2 linked regions of the Drosophila melanogaster genome follow. The protein of the gene in region 1 binds, or shares a complex with, the protein of each later gene. Each region holds a gene or a part of one and is shown on either strand. Other genes may lie near its edges. A codon is read from its position in the direction of its gene.

Region 1 (7,948 bases):
ATTTATACAGTTAAAATCTTTCAAAAAAGTAACTTTCAACCAAATCCGGAAATAAATTCTCAGTACGATTTTCACAAATTGGTTTACCGTGACACACTGCTCCATTGTTTCCAAATCTTAGCGGAACTTTAAACGTGACAAACTTATTTTGAAACATTAGCATTGACTGTTAAAATTGTGATACGTCACCTGGTTCTGGTTAAGTCAAAACAAATTGAACAAAAATTTCTTGGTGATTAAAAATATTTAAATAAATTTATATCTGTACTCTATTGATTTCCTATTGATATTTTGGAACTAAACCTTGGAACCAATCTTGGAAATTATAATTCTTGCGAACGTTCATGGACAGGAACAGGGCGAGACATTTCATTCCAAAGAAACAGTTGGGAAATGAAAACGCTTTAAGTTCTAATTAAAACAACTACCACTAGACTGAAGCTTAAGAAATAAATGCTTAAGCTAAATGTATTATATAATTTTTATTATCTGCAACATTTTAGTGAATAAACAGTTAATAATTGGAGTACATTCAAATTTGTATGTTGTTCTCAGATAGGTGACTGTGGCATGGATAATAGCATTTTCACACAGATACCAATATATCCGTTAAATTCTTAAAGTGAAAATTTTCAAGTTAATTAAAATTATTATGGATTTTTAAAAGAACTTTTTGAGGCAACACTTACTGGTTAGTAATCTATATAATGTAAGCATTAAATCAAACTTTTAACTTATAAGCATTTTATGGAATCATAAATATTCTTAATTGCTTTTAAATAAATTAAATTTAAATTAATAAATTTTAATAAATTAAAATCTCGCTTAGGTGTTTGCGACTATGGAAAACATGCTTAATATCCTAAGACCAAAAAATTTACAAATTTTTTTTTTTTTAATGCGTATCTTGATTTAGAGATTCAAGACCAAAATATATATATATATATATATTAAATAACATTCAAATCATAGAAGCATTTTAAATTAAATTTAATTTAAATTTAAATTAATAAATTTTAATAAATTAAAATCTCGCTTAGGTGTTTGCGACTATGGAAAACATGCTTAATATCCTAGGACCAAAAAATTTACAAATTTTTTTTTTTTTAATGCGTATCTTGATTTAGAGATTCAAGACCAAAATAGCTGTCATATATATATTAAATAACATTCAAATCATAGAAGCAATACTGTTTTGGGATTTGTCTAAGCAACAAACATTTTTGTTTAAATGAAAACATAATTGCATTTCATTTTTTATTCATGAATTAATGCAAAACAAGAGAAAACTCTTTAGTAGATATCCCCGATATGAGATACCCGCAACTCAGCAAGTTTTTTGTTAAGATAAAATGGGAAAAAAGCTAAAATAGCTTTGACAAATGTGGACGTGTCAGTTTTGGGTGGCTTATGGGTGTTTTGCAGACAAATATAAAGGCAGAAACACACGGAAAGACGGACATAGCCAGATCAACTCATCTATAACTATCCTGATAAAGTACATATATCTTTTACTCCACGTGCAATGGGCTATATTATTTGTGAGAACAACACAACGACGCCGGCTGTTCAGATATTTATAAGAGTTTTGCGATATCCCTGTTATTGAGCAAATATAGATAATAAAAAAGCAATAAACGGAACTAAAACTAAGTTTTTTTTTCCAACCAATGTGAAGAAAATTATTACCTCAAATTACAACGGGGACGACAACCACCCAAGAAAAAATATGTTTTTCCATATATATATGCAAATGCTTCGATTTGTAATTCAAAATAATAAAATATGAGATTGCTGACTGAGCTGCATTGGTCTTGCTTAATAGGGTCTTAAATGAGTAGTGGATGTTTTATGGAATACCCTGGTTATTTATGACTTAAAGCTACCAGATCTGGAATTCTAGTATGAAAGTAATAATTATACCAAATTTGGTTTGTTCGAATTATCGCGGTCTGGTCACATATAAGGGTAGTAATTACATTTTTTATATATTAGATTGCTTCTCTTATTATGCGAGCTGTTTATTCCAAAGTATGTTCGCAATTTTCGACTCCTGCTAACATAACGCACGGTTAAAGCAGGAACATTTGGGCCTATAAGCCCAAAATTTCATTAGCTTAATACGATGCTCCGAAGTGTTATTGCATTTGCACATATACATAAAATTGTGACATAGAATAGGAGAATTCCACATACAAATACAAAAATACAAAATCCTCCAGTAAAATTTAAAACGATATCGTGTTTTGCTTCGCGTATCTCACGTGAGATGTAATCGCATGCATATGAGTGGTGAGTGCCTGCGTGCAGTTCCTGGTCTAAATATGCTTAATTGCGTTCGCCGACTTCAAAAGCAATAAAACGATGGATTTTAATTGCTACTTGAGCAATTAGCCACACAAGGGATCTTGGGAAGGTCGATTTGAAGGAATTCGATTTCTAGGATGCTCTCGACAACAATGCCCCGCAGTCCAACCCAACAACAGCCGCAACCAAACTCCGATGCCTCCTCAACAAGTGCATCTGGATCAAATCCTGGAGCAGCGATCGGAAATGGGGACTCGGCGGCGAGCAGAAGTTCTCCGAAGACCCTTAATAGCGAACCCTTTTCTACTTTGTCGCCGGGTAAGACTTGTATTGATTTCTCTTTGTCCGGAATTATAACAACTTTCTGTGTTTCCAGATCAAATAAAATTGACGCCAGAAGAAGGCACTGAGAAAAGCGGACTATCAACTAGTGATAAAGCTGCCACTGGAGGAGCCCCAGGCAGTGGAAATAATCTGCCCGAGGGACAAACTATGCTAAGGCAGAACTCTACGAGCACAATCAACTCGTGCCTAGTCGCTTCTCCACAAAACTCCAGTGAACACTCGAATAGCAGCAATGTGTCTGCTACAGTGGGCCTTACTCAGATGGTAGATTGTGACGAGCAATCGAAGAAAAACAAATGTAGTGTGAAGGACGAGGAAGCTGGTAAGACTGCCCTACAAATGGTTTAAAATTTTAAAATGTATTGGCGTTCACCTTTGTTAATCATTTAATTGTTTTTTTTTTGCTATACTTACAATTTTAGTTTTAAACTTGTAAACTTGACTAAAACTCGCGAAGCTCGGATCAAAACAGACATTTTCTTGGAACCGTAATTAAGCTCATAAAAATATTAATTCATCTTGATGGAATGCATATCATAGATGTACTCAAACATCTCAAGAAAGACCTCAAATTGGATCAACTAATTAGTTTGAGAAAAAATTGCTGTACTTTTAAGAATATATTAATTTAAAAATTTGCTGAGTGAAATGATATAATAGTCACAATAATTTTTAGTTAAACTGCTAAAGCATTTTGAATAGCCGTGCTACGCAGATGCTACTAGACGCGGTGTAAAAGCTAATTTTTATTTAAAAGCTGTCCTAATATTCCATAACCATTAATGTCCCATTTCAGAAATAAGTTCTAATAAAGCAAAAGGTCAAGCAGCTGGTGGCGGCTGCGAAACAGGTTCTACATCCAGTTTGACTGTCAAGGAAGAACCCACCGATGTCTTAGGCAGTTTAGTAAATATGAAAAAAGAAGAAAGAGAAAATCATTCGCCAACGATGTCCCCTGTTGGTTTTGGTTCAATTGGTAATGCACAGGACAACTCCGCTACACCGGGTAAGTTTTAAGAGATCCATATAAAGCAAATAACAAGAATTAATGTCAGTTACCAATTTTATTTGATAGTCAAAGAACTACTATAGCGATATCTCCTGCCTTTTAATTTTATTTTAATTAGGAAATACGAATATTTCTAATTTGTAAAATAAAATTGATTAATTAACTAGAATTTAAAAACCTTTTGAATTAGGACATACCCTTCCAAAAATCAGTAATCATTGGGAACGAGAGTGTGGTCCCGAAGGAGACTACTATAAAACCTTTTGAGCTATCTGATACTGCACGCTACTAAAAATGATTAGTTTAGGAAAATGGGTGTAATTTTGTAGGAAGTTTTCATTTTAGAAGAAATGTGATTATTTTATTAAACCCCTTCAAGCGGAACTACATTTGTTCTACGATATTTTGGAAAAACAAATGGTTAAGTTGGAAAGTGCCTATAAAACAGAATTCCACGGTTTCAAATACTAACCAGGTTTTTGATTTAATTTTGATTAAATGAGAAATTATCACACTTCAGTTAAAATGTTTAATTCGATTAAGGTCGGACAATCACAGCAGATTTCCATTTTTGCGTGTATATATAGAAGTCGCCTTCACACTCTTCTGGCGCGCTTCACCACTACGTGGAGTTCCGCCCGCAGTGATTTATATAGATGATTTACGAGTTATTTAATTTTTTATGGTGTATTTTAATAAATATCTTATTTATTCATTTTACATAGTTAAAATTGAAAGAATTTCAAACGACAGTACCACGGAAAAAAAAGGATCGTCCTTGACAATGAATAATGACGAAATGAGCATGGAAGGCTGCAATCAGTTGAATCCCGATTTTATCAATGAATCTTTAAATAATCCTGCAATTTCGAGCATATTAGTAAGCGGAGTAGGACCAATACCCGGAATCGGAGTTGGAGCGGGGACGGGAAATTTATTGACTGCCAACGCCAATGGAATCTCCTCGGGTAGCAGTAATTGTTTGGATTACATGCAACAGCAAAATCACATATTCGTGTTTTCAACTCAGCTGGCCAACAAAGGGGCCGAATCAGTTTTAAGCGGTCAATTTCAAACTATTATTGCGTATCACTGCACTCAGCCTGCTACAAAAAGCTTCCTGGAAGACTTTTTTATGAAAAACCCTTTAAAGATTAACAAGTTACAGCGGCACAATTCCGTCGGTATGCCATGGATAGGCATGGGGCAGGTTGGACTAACTCCTCCTAATCCTGTAGCCAAAATAACACAACAGCAGCCACATACAAAGACCGTAGGCCTATTGAAACCCCAATTCAATCAACATGAAAACAGCAAACGTAGTACTGTAAGCGCGCCTAGCAACTCTTTTGTCGACCAGTCTGATCCTATGGGCAACGAAACTGAATTGATGTGCTGGGAAGGCGGATCCTCAAACACCAGTAGGTCTGGACAAAACTCACGAAATCATGTAGACAGTATCAGTACATCCAGCGAGTCACAGGCAATAAAGATACTGGAAGCAGCTGGCGTTGATTTGGGACAGGTCACAAAAGGAAGCGATCCTGGCCTGACAACTGAAAACAACATTGTATCACTGCAAGGAGTTAAGGTTCCAGACGAAAACCTTACACCACAACAGCGGCAACATCGGGAAGAACAGTTGGCAAAAATAAAAAAAATGAATCAATTTCTTTTTCCTGAAAATGAGAATTCAGTAGGAGCTAATGTAAGCTCACAGATAACAAAAATTCCAGGAGATTTAATGATGGGGATGTCGGGTGGCGGAGGCGGATCTATTATAAATCCGACGATGCGACAACTGCATATGCCAGGTAACGCCAAATCGGAGCTCTTATCGGCGACAAGTTCAGGACTTTCGGAAGATGTAATGCATCCAGGGGATGTTATATCAGATATGGGTGCCGTAATAGGATGTAATAATAATCAAAAAACCAGTGTGCAATGTGGATCTGGAGTAGGTGTTGTCACTGGAACAACTGCAGCTGGAGTAAATGTCAATATGCATTGCTCAAGCTCCGGCGCCCCGAATGGCAATATGATGGGAAGCTCTACGGATATGCTAGCCTCGTTTGGCAACACAAGCTGCAACGTCATCGGAACGGCCCCAGATATGTCTAAGGAAGTTTTAAATCAAGATAGCCGAACCCATTCACATCAAGGGGGAGTTGCTCAAATGGAGTGGTCGAAGATTCAACATCAATTTTTCGAAGAACGCCTCAAGGGGGGCAAGCCCAGACAAGTCACTGGAACTGTAGTACCACAACAGCAAACCCCTTCTGGATCTGGTGGAAACTCGTTAAACAACCAGGTGCGACCCCTGCAAGGTCCACCTCCTCCTTACCACTCCATCCAGAGATCTGCGTCAGTACCAATAGCCACTCAATCGCCCAATCCCTCGAGTCCAAACAATCTATCTCTCCCGTCACCGCGGACAACCGCAGCAGTCATGGGATTGCCGACCAACTCTCCTAGCATGGATGGAACAGGATCATTATCTGGATCTGTTCCGCAAGCTAATACTTCGACGGTTCAGGCAGGCACAACAACAGTGCTCTCAGCAAACAAGAACTGTTTTCAGGCAGACACCCCATCGCCGTCAAATCAAAATCGTAGTAGAAATACCGGATCGTCAAGCGTTCTTACGCATAACTTAAGCAGCAACCCAAGTACCCCCTTATCTCATCTATCCCCAAAGGAATTTGAGTCTTTCGGTCAGTCCTCTGCTGGTATGTTATATTTGTTTAATTTTTTTAAAGACAAATCAAATATGAATTGCGTTAATAATAAGTTATATATTACATAACTCGGAAATTTGATAGAAAAAATCAGGAATAGAAAAAATAAATTATTTTCCGGACCGCCCATCCATTTCTTGAATCCAATTTCTGGAGTGATTGTTAGAGATAATCTACTATTAAAATTAAACACGAAAATTCATATCCGGTTAATTGAAAATCACTATTGTTTAATAAGAAATTAAAAATATGTTTATTATAATATTTCTACAGGTGATAACATGAAAAGTAGGCGACCAAGCCCACAGGGTCAGCGGTCACCAGTAAATAGTCTAATAGAGGCAAATAAAGATGTACGATTTGCTGCATCCAGTCCTGGTTTTAACCCGCATCCACATATGCAAAGCAATTCAAATTCAGCATTAAACGCCTATAAAATGGGCTCTACCAATATACAGATGGAGGTAAATATTTAAATATTTTATTTAACGTTTTTGTGTTAATTTATCTTCTTTTTCAGCGTCAAGCATCAGCGCAAGGTGGATCCGTACAATTTAGTCGGCGCTCCGATAATATTCCGCTAAATCCCAATAGTGGCAATCGGCCGCCACCAAACAAGATGACCCAAAACTTCGATCCAATCTCTTCTTTGGCACAAATGTCCCAACAACTAACAAGTTGCGTGTCCAGCATGGGTAGTCCAGCCGGAACTGGTGGTATGACGATGATGGGGGGTCCGGGACCGTCCGACATCAATATTGAGCATGGAATAATTTCGGGACTAGATGGATCAGGAATAGATACCATAAATCAAAATAACTGTCATTCAATGAATGTCGTAATGAACTCAATGGGTCCCCGAATGCTGAATCCTAAAATGTGCGTAGCAGGCGGTCCAAATGGACCGCCTGGCTTTAATCCTAATTCCCCCAATGGTGGATTAAGAGAGAATTCCATAGGGTCTGGCTGTGGCTCAGCAAACTCTTCAAACTTTCAAGGGGTTGTTCCACCTGGTGCCAGAATGATGGGTCGAATGCCAGTCAATTTTGGTTCGAATTTCAATCCGAATATTCAGGTAAAGGCGAGTACCCCAAACACCATACAATACATGCCAGTAAGGGCACAGAACGCCAACAACAATAACAACAATGGAGCTAATAATGTGCGAATGCCACCTAGTCTGGAATTTTTGCAGAGGTACGCTAACCCTCAAATGGGTGCTGTAGGCAATGGGTCGCCAATATGCCCACCATCAGCCAGCGACGGTACTCCTGGAATGCCAGGATTGATGGCGGGACCAGGAGCCGGAGGTATGCTAATGAATTCTTCCGGAGAGCAACACCAGAACAAGATCACAAACAATCCTGGGGCAAGCAATGGTATTAACTTCTTTCAGAATTGCAATCAAATGTCTATTGTTGACGAAGAGGGTGGATTACCCGGCCATGACGGATCAATGAATATTGGTCAACCATCTATGATAAGGGGCATGCGTCCACATGCCATGCGGCCAAATGTAATGGGTGCGCGGATGCCACCCGTTAACAGG
Region 2 (7,365 bases), on another chromosome or scaffold:
TCCACCTGAGACAGCAGTTGCAGCAAGTCTTGGAATTTAGTGTCCACGTTTTGTGAATTCGAGTTGCAAAGCTCGACCAAAATGCGTTTCGCTTTGGCTTCATAGATGGGCTGGAGGCACAGCTCAAACTGCTTGCCAAATTCCTGTTGCAAATGTTAATGGATAATGAATGACTAAGAGATCAATTATACTCAATACCTCAGCCTCCTCCAGTCGCCCCTTGCAAATCAGCTTCTTAAAACGATCACTGGGGTCGGTCTCGGAAACGAGCATCATCTCCACCACGGAGGGTATGCTGCTCTGGTTGACTTCCTTGGCAGCCAGATAATACAGATTGACCGCACACTTAGGCTGACGCACAAGCCATGCGTGATCAGGAACTTCTACCTCGTTCTTCACATTGAGCGCTGCAATGACACAAGGTTTTTAGCCTTACTGTATGTTTATGTTTTATGTTTGCTGGACTCATACTTGGGTACTCCACTATCTTAATGAAGCGTCCCTCCGCCGTTGATTTCGTCAGCACCAGAAGCTCAATGTTATCTTCGCTGCACTCCATAACCAGCAGATCCTCGATGAGCAGATTTTTTTGTTGGGTAGTTTGACACATGTACACTGTGCGAGTGTATGGACAAATCTCCACCAAGTGGCCGGAATCGGTGAGTGCGATACTGCAAAACCCAGATACACGTTAGAGGGATTCTAGCACCACAATAAGCAAACCCACTCACATATAGTGTTCCAAGTTGAAGATCTGCTTTAGGCTGCCGTACTGAGCGGGCAAATTTATTCGTGTCACGTCATTGGCTGCATTCCTAAAGTTCATAGTGCTTTGATCTCCAGTGATAACTAGACCGGGTTGCGCCTCCAGATCATCCTGATTGTTCTCGGCACTGATGTTGCCGGTCAGCAGCCGCTTGAGCAGCACTGCACAGTCCACGCTGCACGAGGATCTGCCCTTGGAAAGACGTTGAATGGTGACGTCCTCGAGCAGGGCCTTTTCGCAAGCTATAGTTTCGTTTTCATTCAGGCTCATATTGCCTAACGTTTCCAAGCAGGTCTCATCAATGTCGCTTAAGCTACACAGCGTTTGAATCGTTTAATGAAATAATGTCAAGATCCAGTTTTATCACGCATATGCCAGAGCCCATCTCTGTGAATGGCTTACCTATAGATGCTTCCATTCTTACAGGTGAAGTAAAACCGCTGATCCAGTTGATGGATGCTCCGGAAGGTCCCGCCAGTTAGGCTCACGTCCTCCAGATTGACGGCCACGCTGAACAGGAGCAGGCCCTTGATGAACACTCCGTGAACTTCGCCATCGCTGAGGCCGCATACAATCAGGTTGCCGCTTGAAGAAATGGCAATGGCCTCAATGGCTGCCCCGAATGCCAGAAAGCTGCACTTGGCCACCAGTTCGTCCTCCAGGAGCAAAAGGCTCTTGTCGATGCCAATGACCATCTTGCCGCACTGCACGGAGGCCATGACATCTGGATATTTGTTTACCTGACAATGAAAGAAGGCGAGCGTAGAAACCCAACTGCAGATTCTGCACAATAAGGACTCACTTCCTCTTCACTGCTTATTTGGAAGATGCCTCGCGACGAAAATATGTTGGAGATGGTTTCGTCCTCCAGGGAGGACGCCTCGAAGTTGCTCCACATTGCTGTTCAATCCGCTCTAGCCTAATGTGCAAAACCTGCCAATTTTAAACTCTTTATTTAAACACCGCCAATAAACAAGCGTCGCCTGAGAGTTTGCCGATAACATTACCCGCATATCGATAGACGATTGGCGGCATGAAGACACACTACGTATTGACCTTGGGGCTAATACGTTTACGCAATTTATATTTATTACTTAAATGACGTATGTCCAAATCGTAATTTCTCCTTTAAACCTATTACTTTTTAAATGTTAACGTAGTTGCAAACTACTTCGTGCTGGCTTGCTTTGGCCACACTGAGCCGCCGACGGAATTCCGGCATTTCTCTTGACGTGCGCAAACGGTCACACTGGCGGACTTGCAATGAAAATTATTTATATTTCGCTTCTTCGCACGCAAAAATTGGTCAAAATAAACAAAGGTTAATGTGCTGCTGCTATATAACGGTTCAGTGGTCAGTCCGCCGGACCGCCGAATCCGCGTAACGGTAATCCGTGCGTGTGCCGCTCCTATAAACGGCGCTAATTAAAAGTGGATGCTGCAGTGGCCATCAAATCAACAAAAAGCCAACCGAAAACGCAGGCTTCACAAATCGCGTAAACCCTAACACAATTTCCTTGGGAAATAACCGCCGGTTGTTTTGTTTTCCGATTAAAGACAAACGCAAAAAGAACCCGTAAATAAACAACAGTTAAGCGCTGCACTGCAATTAAAACGGAACGGGAAGCGCAGCGGAGGACATAAAATCGCTGGCAAGAAGAAGAGCGCTGCCAGAAAGCGCCCTTTGAAGGGTTTATGAAGGGGAATTAGTGGCAAACCGCAGTGCAGAGTGCTAAAAAAACGAACTCCTGACCTGAAGTGATCAAGGATCAGTAAGAAACTGAGAAGCGGCAGGTGCTTGGCGCTTTGAAACGAGACAACACGACGCTGGGTTTCCAGGGTAGAGTTGCCAACCCGAAAAATAAGCGGGGTTGCCGTTCGTTGCGCCGAAAGTGTTTACCTGCGTTTTGGGAGTCAGTTGCTTTAAAAACGCGATTTTCATAAGGGTCCTGGCCAGGAGATGTCTTGGTGAGTAGTTGAGGAGGACTGACCCACAGGATGCCAGATACTCATTTGGCACCCTTCACACTCCCAGGAACTCAAACTCCAGGCGGTCGCAGGCCGGATAACCGGCAGAAAGCCCAAGCCCACCAAGCATAACCCATTGTAGTTGGTCACCGAAGGATCCAGTGGATTTGTGCCCACCTCCCTAGGGACATCAGAACCAAACCCACTCCTTTACCAGCGTCGAGATCTCCTGCGCGGGATTGGCGACGCCGCTACAACCGAATTTCTTGCCCCACGCCGTTGAAGAAAAGCTGCCACCATTCGGAAGAAGAACACCTCGAATATGACCCACAATCTTGGTATGGCGCCATATCGATTGCCGGGTCCAGCGGGCGGACTCTGTCCGCCCGATTTTAAGCCGCCGCCTCCCACGGACATCATCTCGGCGCCGAGCAATCCGAAGAAGCGGCGAAAAACCTCAAGTGCCGCCAACTCCGCTGCAGCGGTGGCTGCGGCGGCGGCTGCAGCAGCTGCTGCGAATTCCATGCAGCAGCAGCAGGCGCCACCCACACCGCAGGATTTGCTGCCCCCTCCGCCAATGGGAGGCTTCGGAGACACCATTATTGCCTCGAATCCATTCGACGACAGTCCCCAGGTGTCGGCGATGTCCAGCTCAGCGGCCGCGGCGATGGCGGCCATGAATCAGATGGGCGGCGGACCAGGAGGTGGTCACTTTGGCGGCGGTGGACCGGGTGGGCACCCGCACTGGGAAGACCGCATGGGCATGGGCGGTGGACCTCCTCCCCCGCCTCACATGCATCCCCATATGCACCCGCATCATCCAGGCGGACCTATGGGTCACCCACATGGCCCACATCCGCACATGGGTGGTCCACCTCCAATGCGAGGAATGAGCCCCATGCACCCCCATCAAATGGGACCGGGACCAGGCGTCGGACTACCGCCGCATATGAATCACGGAAGGCCAGGGGGACCTGGTGGTCCTGGAGGACCCGTCCCAATGGGTAGTCCCATGGGTGGAATAGCTGGCATGGGCGGCATGAGCCCAATGGGCGGAATGGGAGGCCCCAGCATATCACCCCATCACATGGGCATGGGTGGTCTGTCGCCCATGGGAGGCGGTCCCAACGGACCCAATCCGCGAGCCATGCAGGGTTCACCGATGGGCGGTCCGGGGCAGAACTCGCCAATGAACTCACTGCCTATGGGTTCGCCAATGGGCAATCCAATTGGCAGCCCGTTGGGCCCTCCCTCGGGACCGGGCCCTGGGAATCCCGGCAATACCGGCGGACCACAGCAGCAACAACAACAACCTCCGCAGCCACCGATGAACAACGGGCAGATGGGTCCTCCTCCTCTGCACAGTCCGCTCGGAAACGGACCAACGGGTCATGGCAGTCACATGCCTGGAGGACCAATCCCAGGACCAGGTCCTGGGCCTGGCGGCCTAGTAGGTCCCGGTGGCATCTCCCCCGCGCACGGCAATAACCCGGGTGGTTCTGGGAACAACATGCTCGGCGGGAATCCCGGCGGCGGCAACAGCAACAACAACGGAAGCAATACAAGTAACGCCAGCAACAACAATCAAAATCCTCACCTCTCGCCAGCAGCCGGACGCCTGGGAGTGCCGACGTCGATGCAGTCGAATGGACCTTCGGTATCATCGGTAGCCTCCTCATCGGTTCCCTCGCCCGCCACGCCCACGCTCACGCCCACATCGACGGCCACGTCCATGTCCACGTCAGTGCCTACATCCTCGCCAGCGCCGCCCGCCATGTCACCGCATCACTCGCTAAACAGCGCCGGCCCGAGTCCGGGCATGCCCAACTCGGGACCCAGCCCGCTGCAGTCACCAGCCGGACCCAATGGCCCCAATAACAACAACAGCAATAACAACAACGGACCCATGATGGGCCAGATGATCCCGAACGCAGTTCCTATGCAGCACCAGCAGCACATGGGCGGCGGCCCACCTGGCCACGGGCCCGGACCAATGCCCGGAATGGGCATGAACCAAATGCTGCCACCGCAGCAACCCTCCCATCTTGGTCCCCCGCATCCGAATATGATGAACCACCCGCATCATCCGCACCATCATCCTGGCGGACCACCGCCGCACATGATGGGTGGACCCGGAATGCACGGCGGTCCTGCTGGAATGCCTCCTCATATGGGCGGAGGACCTAATCCGCACATGATGGGCGGTCCGCACGGGAACGCGGGTCCGCACATGGGCCACGGCCACATGGGTGGAGTACCAGGTCCAGGACCCGGACCCGGCGGCATGAACGGACCCCCGCATCCGCACATGTCCCCGCACCACGGACATCCGCATCACCACCACAATCCGATGGGCGGCCCAGGTCCAAATATGTTCGGCGGTGGTGGAGGAGGTCCCATGGGTCCCGGTGGACCGATGGGCAACATGGGGCCCATGGGAGGTGGCCCGATGGGCGGCCCTATGGGCGTAGGTCCCAAGCCGATGACAATGGGCGGCGGGAAGATGTACCCGCCGGGACAGCCAATGGTCTTTAATCCGCAGAACCCGAATGCGCCGCCCATATATCCTTGTGGCATGTGCCACAAGGAGGTGAACGACAACGACGAAGCCGTGTTCTGTGAATCCGGTTGTAACTTTTTCTTTCACAGGTAGGTCGACCAGTTTACAATAGATTAAAAAGGTCAAATAGAAAATATTATATAAATATCTAGGAACAATATTTAGTCCATATCATCATATTTTAAACTGCTTATATCCTGATAATTATCTTTTCGGAACAAAATGTTTAGGAAAGTTTATTGGAATCTCATGAGCAATTAGTCTTATCACTTCTAGTTCAAAGTTAACAGGGGATTACCCTTCAATTAATACATAAAATCAGTCAGGTGTTTTCGTTTATTCATGTTCGTCGTCGACTAACTCCACTATCATTTTTGCAGAACCTGTGTTGGCCTGACAGAGGCGGCCTTCCAAATGCTCAACAAGGAGGTGTTTGCCGAGTGGTGCTGCGACAAGTGCGTGTCTTCCAAGCATATTCCCATGGTCAAGTTCAAGTGTTGAAGCGGATCGGATTTGAAATCAGCAAAACACATCGATCAACCACCAGCGAAAGCGAGAGCAAAGCAAAAGCAACAGCACCAGCTACCCAACCACTCACTGTATAAAATATCCAAGCATTAACTCTATCTTAATTGTAAGACTTAAGCTGCTCAATAGTCAAGACCGCGACCGATCCAGAGACCCACCAGTCCCCATCCCGGCAGCTAAGCCCCGTAGCCAGAATGCGAACCACTAAAGTGCCGGAGCAGTGTTGTGAATTTGAGCTCCGGGCTTCCTGGCCAACTCGCGGCGTGCTCCTGAAACAAATAAGCAAGGCAAACCTTAACGAAAAGTGTAAACGAAATATGTTAATTGTAATATAATTGTAATTTGTGTGTGAGCGTCTGCATGTGAAGCGATCGAAGAGGACAACGTCGCAACAAGAAGACGGAATGAAAGCTGAGAAGCACTCTAGTTTGTATTATAAAAGAAAATGGATAAATCTGAAGAGCAGGCCAGGCGGGATGATGGTGCACATCTCCAATCGAATACCACTCGCCTGGCGAGAAATCCGCATGAAACACAACAGACAACCAACCACTCGTAACTATATAAACATATATCTAATGACATATTCAACACATTTGGAGATGAGTATAGGAGTTGTAACGAAATGAAATTATCATTGTGAAATTGCTGCGAACTGCATGAGTGTGTTATTTGTTATTACGAATCTATATTATTTTTATACTTGTGTGCGTTTACATTTTAAATATTTAATACGGAAGAGCGTTTCGAACGATTGATGGAACTGCATCGTCGATACATTTTACACAAAAATATTCAGCATAGTCGGAATCGGAGAATGTATAATAAGGAATCGATTGCGAACAAAAGCACAAGAAATTATGAATTCATGTGAGAAAGGTTAATTTGTAATTTAAGACGAATGTGGAGGACGCAGCGAACATAAACGATTCAAACGAGAAAAGAAATTTGTAAAAATAGGAAAACAAGAAGTACTCTAGGCTACTGCAACTATAAGTTATTTATAATTAAATAAAATACCATATAAAATAAAGTAAGTTCTAGTTATGAAGCAATTTCTCTTTGGAGGTGCGGTTTCCACGAGCTTGCAATCATTAAAATCATTTCAATGTCCTACTTTAAAAGCACCTGCCAAATAAACGCCTTCAGGTCGGGTTGCATTGCATATACATGTATTTTTAATATTTTGTTTCCATACTTAAGCTAAATGCACAGGCTAAATGGGGATAATAAACATATGCGATGCACACCGAAGGCTGCATCGCCACACAAACTTTTCGGAAATGGCCAGTAGCAATACTCAATGTTGCACATGCCGGATTGTGGACAGGGCTCTAAGATTATTACAGAGACAGTCGCTTAAAGGTACAAATTATATTTTGATTAGGCGTAACTTTCTGTTTCGTAGTTTCGTAGGGAGTTCAGATTACGTTCACAGCACGCAGGAACCAAAGGAGGTTCCTGCATGGCTCGCTGTCTTATCCAATGGCCGCCGTTATCAGCTCCGCCACGTCCTGGTCCGTGCTGCGCACCGTCAGATTGA

Evidence for each region. Proteins that work in one complex are often made in the same cells at the same time.
Region 2: the proteins of lgs (region 1) and pygo are in contact, whole or in part, in a crystal structure (PDB 3ZPV), measured with the Drosophila melanogaster proteins. Residues at the interface, in NP_651922.1 of Drosophila melanogaster: His322 (codon at 4,668), Ile323 (codon at 4,671), Phe324 (codon at 4,674), Val325 (codon at 4,677), Phe326 (codon at 4,680), Ser327 (codon at 4,683), Thr328 (codon at 4,686), Ala331 (codon at 4,695), Asn332 (codon at 4,698), Ala335 (codon at 4,707), Val338 (codon at 4,716), Leu339 (codon at 4,719), Thr345 (codon at 4,737), Ile346 (codon at 4,740), Ile347 (codon at 4,743); in NP_651872.1 of Drosophila melanogaster: Ser768 (codon at 5,358), Val779 (codon at 5,682), Gly780 (codon at 5,685), Leu781 (codon at 5,688), Thr782 (codon at 5,691), Ala784 (codon at 5,697), Ala785 (codon at 5,700), Met788 (codon at 5,709), Leu789 (codon at 5,712), Glu792 (codon at 5,721), Phe794 (codon at 5,727), Ala795 (codon at 5,730), Glu796 (codon at 5,733), Trp797 (codon at 5,736), Cys798 (codon at 5,739), Val803 (codon at 5,754).

Annotation. Positions count from the first base shown.
Region 1 is NC_004353.4:437,890-445,837, reverse strand, and holds the start of lgs (legless), read left to right. Parts: upstream 1-1,926; 5' UTR 1,927-2,444; coding exon 2,445-2,625; intron 2,626-2,683; coding exon 2,684-2,974; intron 2,975-3,448; coding exon 3,449-3,658; intron 3,659-4,386; coding exon 4,387-6,390; intron 6,391-6,672; coding exon 6,673-6,863; intron 6,864-6,919; coding exon 6,920-7,948. UniProt on the Drosophila melanogaster protein: Involved in signal transduction through the Wnt pathway.
Region 2 is NT_033777.3:31,575,322-31,582,686, reverse strand, and holds pygo (pygopus), read left to right. Parts: upstream 1-1,987; 5' UTR 1,988-2,734; intron 2,735-2,801; 5' UTR 2,802-3,056; coding exon 3,057-5,383; intron 5,384-5,674; coding exon 5,675-5,795; 3' UTR 5,796-6,852; downstream 6,853-7,365. Other genes in the region: rod (rough deal), read right to left, coding at 1-143, 199-407, 472-671, 732-1,079, 1,169-1,506, 1,569-1,664; gammaCOP (coat protein (coatomer) gamma), read right to left, coding at 7,301-7,365. UniProt on the Drosophila melanogaster protein: Involved in signal transduction through the Wnt pathway.